Linked DNA regions of Mus musculus. The protein of the gene in region 1 purifies or fractionates together with the protein of each later gene. This does not show direct contact. Links are inferred from orthologs where the notes say so. Each region holds a gene or a part of one and is shown on either strand. Other genes may lie near its edges.

Region 1 (3,644 bases):
AAGAACAAATTTGGAAAATGCCATTGAAACATAATAGCTGTGAACTCACGACATTTTACTCATACTGTATTTTAGATCTACTATTTTACTTACTGAAGTGAGCAATAAGAGGTCCATTTCAGAGTGAAAATTCTGGAGGCTGCAAGGCTAAGCTGTACCCTGGGCCTGGCACTAACACTAGGCTTTGGGGTTTTTCATGACACTTTGCCTCTTAAAAAAATGAAAGGTCTGGAGCCATAAAACTGAAGTCAGCAGGCATGGGCTGAGGAAGGTCAGAGGTGATGAAGATGGCATAGTGGGTATTCTATCAGTGCTGAAACATGACCACTGGTAGCACAAGAACATTTTACATTGTCTTCGTTTTCCCCCAGATATGGTCTTGTTACATAGACTCAAGCTAGCCTCAAACCTGTGATGCTCCTGCCTCAGCCTCGGGAATGTGAAGATTGGCCCATGTTATCGTGCTCTTGTACTGGGCTCTTCTGTTTCTCTTGTTGAAATGGAGACAGTCTTTAGCACACTAGCAAACTTTAGAAGAAGACACTGACAAGGACTTTCGGTTCTGGCACTGACTAAACTAGAGGCTATTTATCAGTATTACTGACTGAAAGAGTAATGCCAAGTTTCTTCATTAAGAAGCACTAGGCACACTATGAAAATGATCCGATCCTACATAAATTCAATTAAAAAGTCCACATGTTCCACAAAGTCTTGAGACTATTCAGAATTTGAATTTCAGAGTAAATTGAAAAGTCCTATTCTCTGTAAAAGGCATAATAAATATGATGGTTAAAGAAAATTAAAATTCAAAAACCAAATCGTTTTTTTTGTGGTAATTGTTACAATATATTGTGTAAAACACATTCTATGAAACGTATATGATTTACCTATAGAATGCTTACACATACTAAAGGAAACTAAGTAATGATGGGATTAAATAGATTTATTTTAAGCAACTTACTCATTAAATAGAAAGCCATTTTGTGATTACTATTTCACATACTTGGGGTTCTAAGAGATCTATTTAGAAAGAGAATGCATTTAGTACACACATCAATATATACCATTGGGTTAACAAAGAGAAGACAGGCCGTTCTAGGTCTTGTGTCATTCTAAATAAGCAACCCATTTACACGCCCACGCATATCAGTGCTAATCCTTCAGGAGCCTTGCTTTAAAGATGACTTTCTCATATTTTCCACTTCCTGACAATGTTTGAAAATAAGTGTATTGTCGAAATAAAAAAAATCCTGTGGGTCTATTCCAAAACCTCAATTTCAGAGACATCCAAAAATAAGTCCAAATTAATCTGTCAATTTCCGAATTTAAGAATATGAGTTCATTTGATTAAACCTCATAATCACAAGGAGGAGGGGTGGAGATCTGGGAGATCATAGGGGATCTGGGATGACATAGCATACAACCCGCACTTCACACATCTGTCTCATCCACTGTCTCTTCCCATCATCCTTACCTATAAATGGGGTCCATGAAGAAGGGAGTGGGTCTGGCATGCTGCAAGGAGCCATCTGAAGATGGCCTAGTATCCATGTTGCTTCCTTTCTTTTCCCCAAACACATGGTTTTTTCGAGGCTCAGTCAACTTTGTCCCACTGGCTCTACCCCTACTGCCCATACTTAGATCCAGGGGCTGGTCTTGGCTTGTGGCTGGTGTTCCTGAAGGCTTCGAGGGGCCTGAAGTCAAGGGCTTCTCATCCTTTCTCTTAGTGGTGAGGTCAAAAGGGGACTCAGAGCTTCCCTTCTGCAGTTTCTTAACTTCACTTGGTGATTGGGGCTCCATTTTCAAAGGTAACGACCTCAAGTCTCTATCAGGAAATGGGTACATTGATTGAGAGAATGCTGGAAAAAACGGGAGGGGAAACATGGAAGGGTAAGGTAACGCTCCAACTTTTTTGTCTTGCAGCCCCACCAGTCCTGTAGAACCAAAGTATTTTTCAGCAATAGACGCAATAGCCTTTATAGAATCATTCACAGCTCCTGACACGGCACTTTGCTCCTCTACAGATGCTGAGAAAACGGAATGATTGTTGTGTTCTTTCTTATTAGTTATCGAAGCCAGATTCTGCAGAGGGCTTACTTTGTCTTTGAACATTTTACCATTTTCTTTACATTTCTCTTTATCACTTTCAAGGTCACTTTCCAGATCAGAGCCCGAGGTTGTTTCCAGGTCACTGCCACTTGGTGTACTGACATCATCAAGGTCACTACTCTCTGACTGGTCACTGATTTTCTCAAGGGGCCTCTCTTCAGAGGACCTCTCGGGCAGCAGTTCCACTGGCTTATTGTCCCCTACAGGTGGGTGTTTAGATAGTGCCTTCAAAATATCCTGTGTAGCTGGCAGTATCTGAGGATGTGTCAAGAGGGGACTTTGACATTTGTTTGACTGTTCGGTACTTGATAATCCTTTAACAGGAGGACTAGCGGGTATCAAAGGAGGCCTGTGGTATAAGCCCGAAGGAAACAGACCAGGAAAGCTAAAGGAAAATCCAGGAGCTGTTGGAAAGGTAAGACCAGCAGGATGCCTATTGGTGCCAAAATAGTCAGCCAGGCCCGGGTTGGCATGACTCATATTAACCATGGACGTTTTATCCATAGCTGGGGTTCCAGGAAGTGAAATGCCTTGGCCAAAAAATCCACCTGCCGCAAAATGGTTCTTGCCCTCACAAAACCTCCTGTGTTTATTTAAGGAAGACGTAGTGCTGAACATTTGTCCACAGTCTTTGCACTTGATTTGGGTTCTGCAATCAGCATGCATGCGCTTATGACGACAAAGGTTTGAAAACTGAGTATAGGATTTATGGCAGACCTCACCTGTGTGCAAACAACAAAAAAGAGTCTCAGGCTTTATGACAATTGCTTCTGGATGCAGCAAGTAGCACAAGTGGTTTACCCAGAATAGTTTCAATTAGGAAGCCAGGAATAGAAGTTGGGAGTCAGCGATCTGGATGCTCAGGACACAGAAAATGCCATTTTACTAGATTCCAAAGCAAGGCATCCAACCTGACAAATGTCTACAAAGCAGCACAAATATTTCACACAGAGAATGTAAACCTTTCCCACCCACCCACCCCCACTGCACAATATTTTTCATAATATTTGTATGTTTAAATATTGATGAAAAAGACACAGCCCAGAATGCATTGCTTCTCCCACCTGCTTCCTAACACTAGCAGACTCTGAAAAATTAAAGATATGTTTAGCACAAACACTTCAGAGCATTGAAAACATTCTGCACTGTATACACCAAGACAGGGTAAACAGCCTTCCCCATATCCACAACCTTCCCCTTTCTCCCCTCTCCCTGTGGGGAAGGGCTGGAAGCTGTTCTCCCACTATTTCATCAGCGTTATATCATGCACTCTCATCGTTCACACATCAAAGCCACACAACAATGCACATTGTGTATTGGGAGACCCTTTTAACAATCATTTTCATGATTTGAGAAAGACTGACATAATTTACAATGGCTCTATTTTAAGCCTGCGGAGGAAACTAAATTGAATGTGGCCCATCCTGGATTGCTGGTTCCCATGAACTATGAGCACGTCCTCTGACTTCCTCTCACACCGATGGCTGTGGTAACCTTCCTGCAGATGAAACCCCCATCCTTGGGAAACATGCTCA
Region 2 (4,336 bases), on another chromosome or scaffold:
GAGTCATTATAGGAACCCAGCTTGACTTGACCACAGCCATTTTAGTCAACTTCAGTGGTGGTAGGGCACAGGGCCTCAGCATACTTTCCAAACCTATAGGATAAACAAAGCCATTAAGATAAGGCAGGCTCCAGCTGCAGATGTAGCAGAGAATGACCTTATCTGGCGTCAATGGGAGGGGAGGCCCTTGGTCCTGTGGAAGCTCGATGCCCCAGCAAGTAAGGGGATGCTAGGGTGGTGAGGCGGGAGTGGTTTGGTGGTGGTAGGGGAGCACCCTCATAGAAGCAGGGAGGATGGAGGATGGGATAGGAGGTTTCCAGGGGGAAAATAGGGAAAAGGTTTAACATTTGAAATGTAAATACATAAAATAACCAATTTTTAAAAAAAGGAAAAAAAAAGAAAATCTAAAAAAAAAAAAAAGATAAGTCAGGGAAGCATTTCATGATAACTACTGATGCCCAAATTACTTTAAGCTGATATTTAGTGAAATGGATTTAGAAAAATAATTGATGGGCCACATTGAAGTTTGTGTAGCACGTAACTCTGTCCTCCTGCTGTGCAGTATAGGGTTTCTCATGTCTTGTTGACACTAGAGATATGAATACGTCTGTAAATCTGTAATAATTGCACTTTGCGAAATCCTGGCTCTTTCTAACTCTTCTGGTATATGTGCGTGTTACTGTGGACTGTGTACGTGTGCATACACATATGTAGGCTAGAGGTCAACAGCAGGCATCTCCCTTGATTGTGATCCATTTTCTTTTTAATTCTTATTACATTTATTGGGTGTGTGTATGTGTGTATGCAGACACATATGTAGGTCAAAGGTCAATGGTAAGCATCATCCTTGATTGATCTCATTGTATTTTTTTTAATATTAAATTTATTTGGGGTATGTGTGTATACACCTACCAAAGTGCAGGTGTGAACAGAGGACAGCTTACAGGAATGGGTTCTGTCCTCTAAGAGCAAGCTTGGGGCTCCTGTCTCCCTCCTCCAGCACTTTGTCGCTGGGTGTGGCTCTTACATGGGTGCTGACAATAATTTGTCCTGACCTAATCCCAGTCCACTTCGGGACATGGGTGGCCATTGGAGTTTGAGACGTCTCCTTCAAGGAAGATGGAGAAAGGGCTGCCTGGCTAACAATGTGATGGGGACAGTTTGAGGGAATAGCAGGCTGCCTGACAAGGGTTGTGCTTCTATGAACTCAGACGGCTGCAGGGCACAGATGGATGCTACTATTGACTGAGTGTGAATGAAGAAGCGAGTGATGGAAACGGACATCTGATGGCGGCGACCGACTTATTATTTATTTCAATCAGGTGACTGGCTGAGCACCTATATATATGGCTCTAGGTCCACCCTGGCAGTGAATGCCTGCGCGAGGTTAAAATAAATGACTGGCAGAATTGGGGTTGCACAAAACAAGCCCTTTATGACTGGCTGACGCCGCGATTGGCTAGCAATATGACTGACAAGGGGCGGGTCCTGGAGCAAAGGCAAGCTTTGCTACTGCGCAGGCGCACTCTGAATAAAGGCAGCGAGCACGGGCTCTCGAGACCACTCCTGGTGACGGGAGGAGTCCAGGCACAGCTCCGCGGTTGGTCCGAGCCGGAGCTGCGAGCGGCGAGGAGCGGCCAATCGACTGCGCGTCCCCGGCCACGCCCGCGCGCGCTCTCTTCTCGCGAGGCCGGTTAGGCCCGAATGTTGTTAGCTGTGGAGAAAGATGGCGGAAAATTTAAAAGGTGAAGCTGTGGTGCTAGAGACGCGAGCTACTGGCCCGGCCGAGTAGAATGGAGGGAAGGTGGCCGGGGCTCCAGGCCAGGCGTCCGGAGCTACGGAGCCTGGAGCTGGAAGGCCGGCGCGGCAAACGTGGGGGCCGAGAGCGCGGGCCCGGCGCGCGGGCAGGGCGGGGCTGAGGGGAGGGGGCGCGTGCTTCGGCCGCGGGGGGCGCGGGGCTGCGCAGGCCGCGCGCGGGGTTTCTCGGCCGCGCGCGGCTGGCCGGCGCGCCTACGCGCGTGAGAGAGAGTCCTGAAGGAGAAGGTTGCGGCCACGCGCGGGAAAAGGCGGCTCTCAGTGACCGTTACCCTTTCGGTTTCCACGGGAGACGCCGGAAGGGGAGGAAGAAGTGGAACGGACCCCCTTCTCAAAATGGGGGAGCCGGCGACTCTAGGTGGGAAAGGGATCGAGGCGAGATGGGGGCAGGGTTTTCGGGTAGACGAGTCTCCCCGGAAAGCGGGACTTGGTGGGGGGGCCTCGGTGAGAGGAGGGCTCGGCTCCTCCATGTGCAGGAAAAGAGGGGTGACTTGTGCGTGCTGGGCGGGCTCCTCGGCCTCGAGTAGAGCGCTGAGAAGAGATTCCACAAGTGTGAGCCGGAGCTGCGGTGGGGAGGAGTGCGGCTGCTGGCACTGCAAATGGTATTTGCAGGCCACTTCTTGGGGCTTTCAAAGGCGTTCCAGACGCAGGTTAGAGGCTCCGGGAACCGAGAGGCCTCGGAGGAGAGGGATTAGTCTCTGCTGGGCCTTGGATAAAAAAGGATCAGTGTATATGTACGCAGTGATCTTTTTTTCTTTTGAAGTGTTTGTGTGTTCTTAGGTTACCATCTAGAGCATCTTATTAGGATTGTTTTAGATTTGAGTCGTATGATGGGAGGAGAAAAAAACCATCCTTAAAAGATGGCATTGGCTACTGACAGCATACACCTAGCATCAAGTGGTTTTGTGACATATTTTGATTTTTTAAAAATGGCTTCTAAAATTACGTTGAAGAAGGGATGTGCTCTGAAGCAAAAAAATGTGTATACTTTAAATCCGCTTCTCTTGAACAATAATTTTGGTGACCAAGAGTCATTGTCGGGGCTTACCTACCACATGTATTGTTTACATGTTCCTGAATTGAGAGCAGATCCCTTCGAATTGAGTTGTACTTTTCACCCCCGAGACAGGGATTTTTTTTTTCCTTGAGACAGACTACGGCTGTCCTAGAACTCAGAGATCAGCTTGTCTCTGCCTTTCCTGGGTCTAAAGGTATGCACCACTATGCCCAGTTTAATGTAATATCTTTCTACAATCTTTATAATTACAAAACCTAAAGTCCTTTGAAATAAAAGTCTTTCTTAAATGTGTCACTAATCATGGCAAGGGATTTTTAAAAGTGAAATTATTCAGTGAGAATATTTAATGTGAAAAATCAAGGCTTTTGCTATAGATGTGTTTGCTGTTAATGTGTTTTGAGTATAGATGGCTTAATGTCCTATGCCAGGAATTCGCCTAAAATTACTTGTGTAAAATTCCCAAATGTTTGAATTCCAAAATCCAGTGGCCCAGGAGTTTCAGATAAGTGAAGACTTTATAGCAACACCTCTGTTTGTTGCCCTAGGGATTTTTGTCCTACCCTGACTCTCTTAGTTAACGCACCCCAGTCTTTTGCAAAGTGCAAAGAGCATTGCTTAAGGCTCTGACCGAAGGTAAGTCTGCAGGCAGCTTAAGGCCTTGGATGTTCTGCCAGTGGATCCCTTTATGGACGGGCCCATTGCTACAAGCGCCACTTCATCCTTGCCATTCCAGAGTTAGGGGGCCAGAGTTTGGAGTAGAAGATTCTCCCAGATGAGGGCATAGGTCCTCTGATAGGAGAACTGGACCCTTCCATGTGCAGGGAAAGACAGGTTGATGCTTCCTGGTGTGTAGGCTTATTTCCAGGTGTTGCCCTGAGAATTGAGCATTAGGGTTCAAGGAATTGGCACTTCCTGTTGCAGAGGATCTTAGCTTTGGGTAAGGCCCGTCGATTACATTTTTGTGAGTCTTTGGCCTTCTCATTCTAGGTTGCAGTGTGTGCTGTAAATCTTCTTGGAATCAACTGCAGGACCTGTGCCGACTAGCCAAGCTTTCTTGTCCTGCCCTTGGTGTTTCTAAGAAGAATCTGTATGACTTTGAAGTTGAATACCTGTGTGATTATAAGAAGATCCGTGTAAGTCTGGTGTGAGTGTGTGTGTAGAGAGAGAGAGAGAGAGAGAGAGAGAGAAAGACAGATACTACACTGGCAGGGGACCCTCTTCTCCACCAACCCCACATCTGTTTGCAAAGAGGATTTTTCTCCTCTGATTCTTCCTGGGGGGAAATAGAATGAATTGACCCTCTTATTTCCATTTTACAGGGAGGGAAATAAAGTGGCTTTCTCAGAGAACAAGAGGCAGAATGAATCCTCCAATGCATGTTTGTTTCCACCTAGAAATACAAAACTAGTTACCAAGTTGATACTTTGTGCCTAAGAGTGGAAGTAAAAGATGGCAACAGGTAGAGTGCCCAACCATAAACAGTTACTGATGCCACAGAAGTAG

What was found. The genes of interacting proteins can lie anywhere in the genome.
Region 2: the proteins of Mecom (region 1) and Suv39h1 purify together in Homo sapiens (affinity purification with western blotting; 3 studies listed by BioGRID). This does not show direct contact. The link is inferred for Mus musculus from reciprocal best matches to the Homo sapiens genes MECOM and SUV39H1.

What each region holds. Positions count from the first base shown.
Region 1 is NC_000069.6:29,978,127-29,981,770, forward strand, and holds part of Mecom (histone-lysine N-methyltransferase MECOM), read right to left. Parts: intron 2,832-3,644; coding exon 1,475-2,831; coding exon of another isoform or gene 1,471-1,474; intron 1-1,470.
Region 2 is NC_000086.7:8,071,953-8,076,288, reverse strand, and holds the start of Suv39h1 (histone-lysine N-methyltransferase SUV39H1), read left to right. Parts: upstream 1-1,528; 5' UTR 1,529-1,726; coding exon 1,727-1,745; exon of another isoform or gene 1,746-2,151; coding exon of another isoform or gene 2,152-2,173; intron 2,174-3,820; coding exon 3,821-3,966; intron 3,967-4,336. UniProt on the Homo sapiens protein: Histone methyltransferase that specifically trimethylates 'Lys-9' of histone H3 using monomethylated H3 'Lys-9' as substrate. Also weakly methylates histone H1 (in vitro).